2 linked regions of the Elephas maximus indicus genome follow. The protein of the gene in region 1 purifies or fractionates together with the protein of each later gene. This does not show direct contact. Links are inferred from orthologs where the notes say so. Each region holds a gene or a part of one and is shown on either strand. Other genes may lie near its edges. The genes, in order: MED13L and CDK19.

Region 1 (3,911 bases):
CGGCCGCCGCGAGCGTTCCCGAGGCCCGCGGTCGCGCCCCTCAGCCGCCCGGGCGCTCCGCAAGGGTCCGGGCCCCGCGAGGGGGCGGGGCGCCCACAGAGCACTGGGCCCGGTAGCCCACCGCCCTCCGGAGGGTCGGGCCGACCGCACTTCTTTCTCTCCCTCCGCGTCTCTGCCCCTCTTCCCGGCCCGAGAAGCCGGCCGCGCTCGGCTCAGCAGCGCCTCCCGCGAGCCGCCACCGCCGCCGCCGCCGCCGCTCCCGGCCCCTCCCCCGCCCGCCCGCGCCCCCCCGCGCGGCCGGCGCCCGTCACGTGACACGGCGCCAGCCAATGGCGGGCCGAGCCGCGGTCGGCGGCCGCCATTGCTGTCAGAGCGAGCGAGCCCGGGGAGGGAGGAGAAGCGAGGCTTACTGGGGAGGAGGGGGGGGGTGGGGGAGGAAGAGGAAGGAGGGGACGTCGCTCGGCTGCCGGGGTCGCCCGCTGGCTTCGTCCGCACCCCCCCCTTCGCGAGTTCGCGCTCCGCGGCGGCGGCGGCTCCGAGGCGGCGGCGGCGGCGGCGGCGGCTCCGGGGCTCGCCTCCCCTCACGCGCCGGCGGGGGCTGAGGGGGAGTCGGTGGCTGGAGATAAACAAGGCGGCGGCGGCGGCCGAGGAGCAGGGAAGGCGGAGGCGGCGGCCGGCCCGCAGCGCCGGCCCGGGAGCCAGCGGCGGCCCTGAGAGGCGGGGAGGGCGCCGGGCCGCGCGGACAGCGCCCCCCGCTGCCGCCTCAGCCGCCGCCGCCGCCGCCGCCCGAGCAGGAAGGAGCCGCGCGGCCGCCGCGGACCCCCCCGCCGGCCCGGGCCCGCCGCCCCCGGCGCGGCGTCGCCGCGGCGCCTCCCGCCCTCCTCCTCCTCCTCCTCCGGCGGCGGCAGCGGCCCGGCCGCCCCGCGCTTCCCGGTGAGGCGCCGCCGTCCGGCCCGGCCTCGCCTCGGACGCCTCGCTCCGACATGCCCCGCTCTGGCGGCCGGGCTCGCGGAGGATCATGACTGCGGCAGCGAACTGGGTGGCGAACGGGGCGAGCCTGGAGGATTGTCACTCCAACCTCTTCTCGCTGGTGAGTAGCCGGGCTGCGGGGAGGGGGGCTGGGCCGGGGGCGCCGACCCCGCCGCCGACCCCGCCGCCGATCAACTTTCTCCTCCCGCCGCCGCCGCCGCCGCCGCTGCCGCCGCCGCCGCCGCCGCCGGGACTTCGCCCCTCCCCGCGGGTCGCCTCTGGCCGCTGCTCTCCCTTGGATCGTCTCTCCTCCGCCTTGGACCCCATCCAGTGTTTATTTGGCTCTTTAAAAATCATTTGTGAGCGCGGCGCCCGGCGTGGAATTGGCATGTGGAAGTCTCAAAGCTGCGGATTCTGGGTCGCACTCGGAGCGCCCACCCTCTGTTGCAATCACACCCCCTCCCGTCTGCCCCCCTTTCCCCCCAAATGTGGAAGGAAGGCTTTGCCTGCTGCTGCCCGCGCCTGCCGTGGGCTGCTAGCAGCCTCGTCCCCCCGGTCGGATCGGCTGTCCGCCCGCCTCCCTTTTGAATTTTTTTTTTTTTTTAAATGCTGTAATGACACCTGCAATTTCGCCCGAAAACAGTTGATCGAATGCGATTGTGTCAGTAAAGGACTCTTGCACCCGGAGCTGCCGCGATTGTAAACACCGACAGCCGCCCGCCCGCCTCTCGGGGCTCAAACGCCGGAGAGCCAGAAAGCCATTGCACCGAGCCGACGGAAGGTGGAGAAAGCTTTTTCTTTTTTCTCTCCCCCTGTGTCTTTTAAAAACTGTTTTCTCTATCCTAACAACGAATCCACACACACACAAAAAAGCAACAAGCTGGGCGGTTTGATAACATCGCTTTTATCTGCCTTCGCCTGGCTCCCTCTCTCTCTCTGATAATTGACAACTTTTCCCTCGGATTTGAATCGCCTGCCTTAATCTTGAAGCAGTTAGGGTGTCAATTGTTCTCCTGGAAGCCCGGCACCCGACGGCGGCGGCTAGATTCATCGAAATTAAAAATGTATAGGACTCCAGCAACTCTTTCCCTGGCGGTGGCAGTGACATTTGGTGGTAAATGCCATCTTTGCTTTTTATTGGGTCGTATTACCTTCTCTGAAAACATTCACGTTGTTAAACCTGGCGTTTAGGCTAATAATTGCAGTGCGTGGTCTTTAAATATGTGCTTTGTGCATGAGTTACTGTATGGAGAGCTATGTGCCCGGGAGAGTAGGAATTTGTTTAAATATTGAGCAAAGGTTTGTAAACAGATGTAAGGCAATTATGTTTGAAGCGTAGAATATAATTGGAAAATTGGCTGAACGGTCTATTTAATTTAGTCTAAAAACAAAAACCAACTTATTTTAACTTGGGTACACTGTTTTGGGGGGATTGCTTTTTGGAGAGTATGCATTTTGGAAATTATTTTCTGTAACCTCTACTGTAGACGGAAGCATCATTTCCTTTTAATCCTTGTTTACACTGGATAAATAATTTAGTGTTCAAATTGTAATTAGTTACATTTAATTATGGGTGGCATAGATCCCCCCCTTAGGGACTAGTGGAGAAATGCAAATTCTTGCCAACTTTTCAAATAAAGTGTTATTAAATATGTTACAGTATTTATGCAGATAAAAAAGTCAACACATGAGATTGTTAGCTACAAAGACTGAGAGACATAGTATCCATGCTTCTACTATAGTACAACCAGGTTACATTTTTTTTTTTCAAACATTCTTATTCAGATATATAATCTTTAAATTCATTTTTAAGTAGTAATTCTTCCTTTTGGTACTGTGATGATTTTCTTGTGATCTTTTAACATATGGGAGTAAAGCTCATTTTGTCTTTTCCTTTTTCCCCTATCACTTAGTATCAGTCAGGTTCAGGGACTCATAGATCAGCAAACATATTGATTAAGGGGTATTTAAAATGTTTTTTGTTTGGCAGCTGGTGACCGCATTGACACTTTTACAGGTAATTAAAATAACCAAATAGACCAATATTGGTGAGGAGAGAGCCCCCAAATTACCATATATCATACTGACTGGTAATGGCTTGTATACGTATATGTGGCTAATTTATATACGGTAGATTAGACAACTGCAATGTATTACCTGTATAGGCAGTGTCTAGGATATATCGTTGCTTTTATCTTCTTTTTTTAAAAGCTAAGTGAGAGTGATAATGTCTTAGAGATAAGATGCTTGAGATTCTTCTGGACAAACAATTTTGTAGGCAAGGATGCTGTACTTTGATTATGACCAATTCAAGTTTTGTGCTTTGAGTATATCTTCCCTCAGCCTCTTTAAATCAGGAAGAGATTTTTGAATATATCTTTTTTTTTTTTTTTAATTTTAAGAATGACTTTTAGGTAGCAACTTTCAAATTCAGAACGGCAGAAATGCATAGCTTGATTTTTTTTTTAAGGACTATAAAGTGTTTAATTGCTACATTCTTTGGTACAGGGAGGGTGGGTAAGGTGCTTTTTTTTTTTTTTTAAATGATGAATCAGTTAAAAAGCTGCTGACTATTATAGCTCTTTCTGGTTGCAAATTGAGAATTTTAATTGAAAATCATATACAGTAGCACCCTAGACTATTAAAAATATGTTGCTTAAGGTGCATTATATGGAATAGTTGAGACTGCCAAGAGATGTCATCATCACCTGTTCAAAATAAAGCATGTCTTGTAAGAAGAATTCTTAATATGTTAAATAATAGCATATATTTTTCCTTGTGTCCTGTAGTTTTTTTTTAAGTGGAGAGAAGTATTGTTTATAGAGAATTTACCTAGATACTCGTATTAGTGTGGATTGAAATATAAACTGGAGGTTAAAGTTCTGTACCACAGTAATGACCTTGCCACTTTCTCTTACCTTAAAGTGTTCATTATGGTTTAA
Region 2 (3,911 bases), on another chromosome or scaffold:
GTTTTAGTACCCCGAAGGAAAAAAACACAAGTTTTTCACCTAGTATCTCCAGCAGTTATCATAGTGGTTTGCAATAAGAGAAACTCAGTTACTTTATTGAACATGCCTTCAAGATCTGAGGAAGCTTCCCAGGCGGGATTGTTGGAGTAAACAAGCAATTCTCTCCTCCCGCCCCCCTTTCAGTTTTCCAGGCTTCTTCCAATACCTAGCAAGCAGAAGTCACTATAACTTTCCCTACTTCAGGCAAAATCGATCATTCCCTCCTTCGTGCTCCCACCGAATGTAGTACATAAATCCTATCCTAGCATCAATCACATTTAAGTTTGTATTTCGAGTATCTGAGACTTTACGAACACAATAATGAAATGAATCAATGTTCATAATATGCATAGACCATATATATATAAAGCCCTTTTCAATCCAACCAAAACGATTGTTTTTAAAACGCTGGATCTTCTAGGCATTCCGATTGTTCTTAGATGGTCAAAGCTTGGCTACCAAAGTTAGGGCGGAAGACCTACTACAGCACCACGAAAAGGATGGGGCTGAGAAGTTATAGGTTCTCTTCAACCAATGCAAGAACTAAGAAACTGCTGACGGTTCAGCGTTTGAAATAATGTATTTGCATCGTAAAGAAAAAAGATTAACCTATCAGGAAGAACTGAGCACAACCAATCAAAAGCGGGAAGGAAGCCAAAGACTGGGGATACCCACGCACCAACTAGGACGTCATTCTCTAAACTCCGCCAATGAGGGCCAGATGAGGGGGGGGGGGGCAACTGGAGGACAAATTGCCAAGGAAAATAAACAACAATCTGCAGTAGAACTGTTCTATTACAACAGTCCTCGCCTCGCAAACCCCTGGAGTAAACTTCTGGGCAAAGCACTTGTTAAGTACTTTCCATATTCCTTCTCGCCTGGAAAATCAGACTGGAATTCCTCCTTCCTACTAGAACAAGGGCCTTTTTCCACTAGCTCCCACAGGCTTGCAGAAAGCACACTGCAACTTGGCGCTTTTTACCTTCACTGGGAGTCCAGCGCTACCTGAGGGGGAGGGGCGGCCCCAGTGCGCCGGCGTGCATGCCTTGCGGAGGCGCGGCTCTGGGCCCAAGGCAACGTGGGAGTTACAGTTCTTACGGTGGCAATCCTTTAGCCAATCCTGAGGCCTTCAGGACTACATTTCCCAGGAGCCTCCGCGACCTTGGGGCGGACGGGCTGGTTCGTTAATGAGCTGTAGGAAGCCGCGGCGCGGCCCACCAGGTTCCAAAACAAGGAAATGAAGGGGGGAGGCGGGACTGAGGGTGCCTGCGGGAGCCGTCGCCGCTGCCGCCGCAGAGGAGGAGGAGGTGGAGGTGGTGGTTGCCGCGGCCGCCGAGGAGTCCCTTGCTGAAAGCGGATCGCGGAGCGGCTGGCGGCGCGCGCGCGCCCGAGAGGCGGCTGTTGTAGAGAAGTGGAGCGGCGGCCGCGGGGGGAGGAGGAGGAGGGACTGAGCGGCGGCGGCCCCCACGTCCCGGTGCCTCTATGGGGGAAGCAGACAATGGATTATGATTTCAAGGCGAAGCTGGCGGCGGAGCGGGAGCGGGTGGAGGATTTGTTTGAGTACGAAGGGTGCAAAGTGGGACGCGGCACCTACGGGCACGTCTACAAGGCGAGGCGAAAAGATGGGTAAGAGCAGGGGCGGGGGGAGTAGGGTCGCTCGGGTCCTCGCCCTGTCCGCGAACGGGCGGGATGGGTGGGTCGGAGCCCTATCGGACCGTTTCCAAGGGGCGCGGCGGAGGTGGTAGAGGGGCCATGTCCCGGGTTTGACTCTGAGAGACGCCCCCCTGCCCCTGCGGCTCCGTCGCGCCCCTCGAGCTCCCGCGGCGCAGCCCGGTCGGGGGCCGTCGGTCCCATGCCGAAGGGCGCTCTCCGCGTACATGGAGCAGGCGGCGACACGAGTTTGGACCTCGGCTAGAGGTGGAGTTGGTGGGGTCTGGTCTCTTGGGAAGACGCGGAGGAGTTGCCGCTCCGGCCCTGGGCTGGTGACGGCGGTTGTTGAACTTCCAATCCGCTGAGTCCCTCCCGGGGGCGGCGGTTTGAAACCTCGCCGCGGAGCCAGTCGCGCGGCTTAGCGCCTTGGTCCCCGGCAGTCTCCCGGGTCTGACCCAGTGTGCACGGCAGTCCCAGCTACGACCTCCGCCCCTGGGACCTGCTAGCCGGAACTGGCCCTTCAGCTCGGTCCCTCGCGTCCCTGTCGTGTTTTGGACCCCTCCTCACCCGTCTCCGCCCCGCCCCGCGCCCCGATTTCACACCCTCACTCTGAGTTCCGCTCGAATGTGGGACGACATCCTGAGAGAGTAACCGCGTTTTGCCCGCGAGAACTTCAGAGTTCTGCCAGGTTCTCTGGCACCTCTTTTTCCCTCACCTTAGGTATTCTTCTGTCCATCACTTCGTTCTCTGCCAAGTGACTACGTGCTGGGGTTTACTGGGCATCTAGATTATCAAAAACGGAGTACAGAGTGACACAGAGCTGGGCCTGAACCTTTGTTTTCCTGGGAGTTGAGGGAGAACCGTAGGACATCTTCGGGAATCTCCTACCTCATTAGAAGTCGAACTGGACGATATTACGAGTAGTTGAGCTCGAACTGCAGGACAGGTGGAACCAGCTCTCTGTGATGGGTGGCCAGTTATTACCGCATGTCCCATCGTTGTAGGAATTCCCCTCCCCCAGGGTTAGGGCGTCCAGAAAGATCTGCCTGCCATGCTTAAACTGCATAAAGACTGTCAACGTGTAAAGAACAGAGCTTTAGGGTCGTATTGAACATTTCCGAATAAACTGAGTATCAGCCACACTGACATTAGTAAGATTTGAAGGGCCACTTTCTGTGCACGCTGTTGCAATTTGATATGGTAGGTTTCTGAACTCTAGGACCAAAGTAGGTAGGTTGTGTGTGTGAATGTGTGCGTGTGTGTGTGCGCGCGCGCGCTTGCCCACTAGTTTCATAAAGGGAAAAACAAAACACAATTACTGTAAAGTTTTGGAGACATTTGCCCCTAGTTTTTTCCCCCCAATCTAGAGTTGGGTGTCAAGAATTATGATTCTCTGTACAAAAAATTTCAGAAATATTTTCTGTGAAAATATGTTGAAAATTACAAATTTCAGGATTATTATTATTGTTATTATTTTTTCTTTCTTATGGCTAAACAGGCCGGATAGTACTCAGTTGTTTGTGAACTTTTGTCATAATTCTTATAATTGCCAGGTGTTCTTGAATGAGTATCATGGGATGTGAGGTACTATAATTAACTTTTGTTTTTGAAATATGTACTTTACTTGTAATACTGGTGTTCCTGTGGGAGTGTTATCAAATATATTTGGGGAAGGCACATCAAGTTTTCCTGTTTAGACATTGGCATTACAAAATAAAAGTGGCTCTTTTCACACTCCTCGTGGTAACTTTGTAGTACACTTGACCTAGAATTTTTAAATGTATTAAAAAAATTTTTTTTGATTAAAATAACTTCCTTTTAGCAGACAATTTCTGAGAAAAGTTAAGAATTTTCTTCTGAATTGTATTTGAGTAGCATGGGCTTACAACAACAACAAACAGCAGATAATATAATTCCTATTTCCATTCTTTTTGAATATTTCCCCCCTCTAATAAAGTTGTTGATTCAAATACATATCCTTCTTGAGTGAAATTTATTTGATTAGAAGTAATAAAGCTGCGTTAGTAGAGGAAGATGGTTTCATCACATCAGATTGGTTTGTGTACCTTCAGCATAATATGCCTTTTTTTTTGGTGAACTTTTGGCCCATGAAAGCATTTACTTAAATCACTATATAACATGTAAGAAAAACCATAATAAAGGTTTTTTTTCTTGGACCAAGAGTCTAGTGAGATTCGAAGCTTTACAGCAAAACACATCTC

What was found.
Region 2: the proteins of MED13L (region 1) and CDK19 purify together in Homo sapiens (affinity purification with mass spectrometry; 5 studies listed by BioGRID and IntAct, counting the BioPlex papers as one, with this or other methods). This does not show direct contact. The link is inferred for Elephas maximus indicus from reciprocal best matches to the Homo sapiens genes MED13L and CDK19.

The regions. Positions count from the first base shown.
Region 1 is NC_064840.1:14,031,086-14,034,996, reverse strand, and holds the start of MED13L (mediator of RNA polymerase II transcription subunit 13-like), read left to right. Parts: upstream 1-926; 5' UTR 927-1,018; coding exon 1,019-1,090; intron 1,091-3,911. UniProt on the Homo sapiens protein: Component of the Mediator complex, a coactivator involved in the regulated transcription of nearly all RNA polymerase II-dependent genes.
Region 2 is NC_064819.1:176,759,447-176,763,357, reverse strand, and holds the start of CDK19 (cyclin-dependent kinase 19), read left to right. Parts: upstream 1-1,229; 5' UTR 1,230-1,537; coding exon 1,538-1,665; intron 1,666-3,911.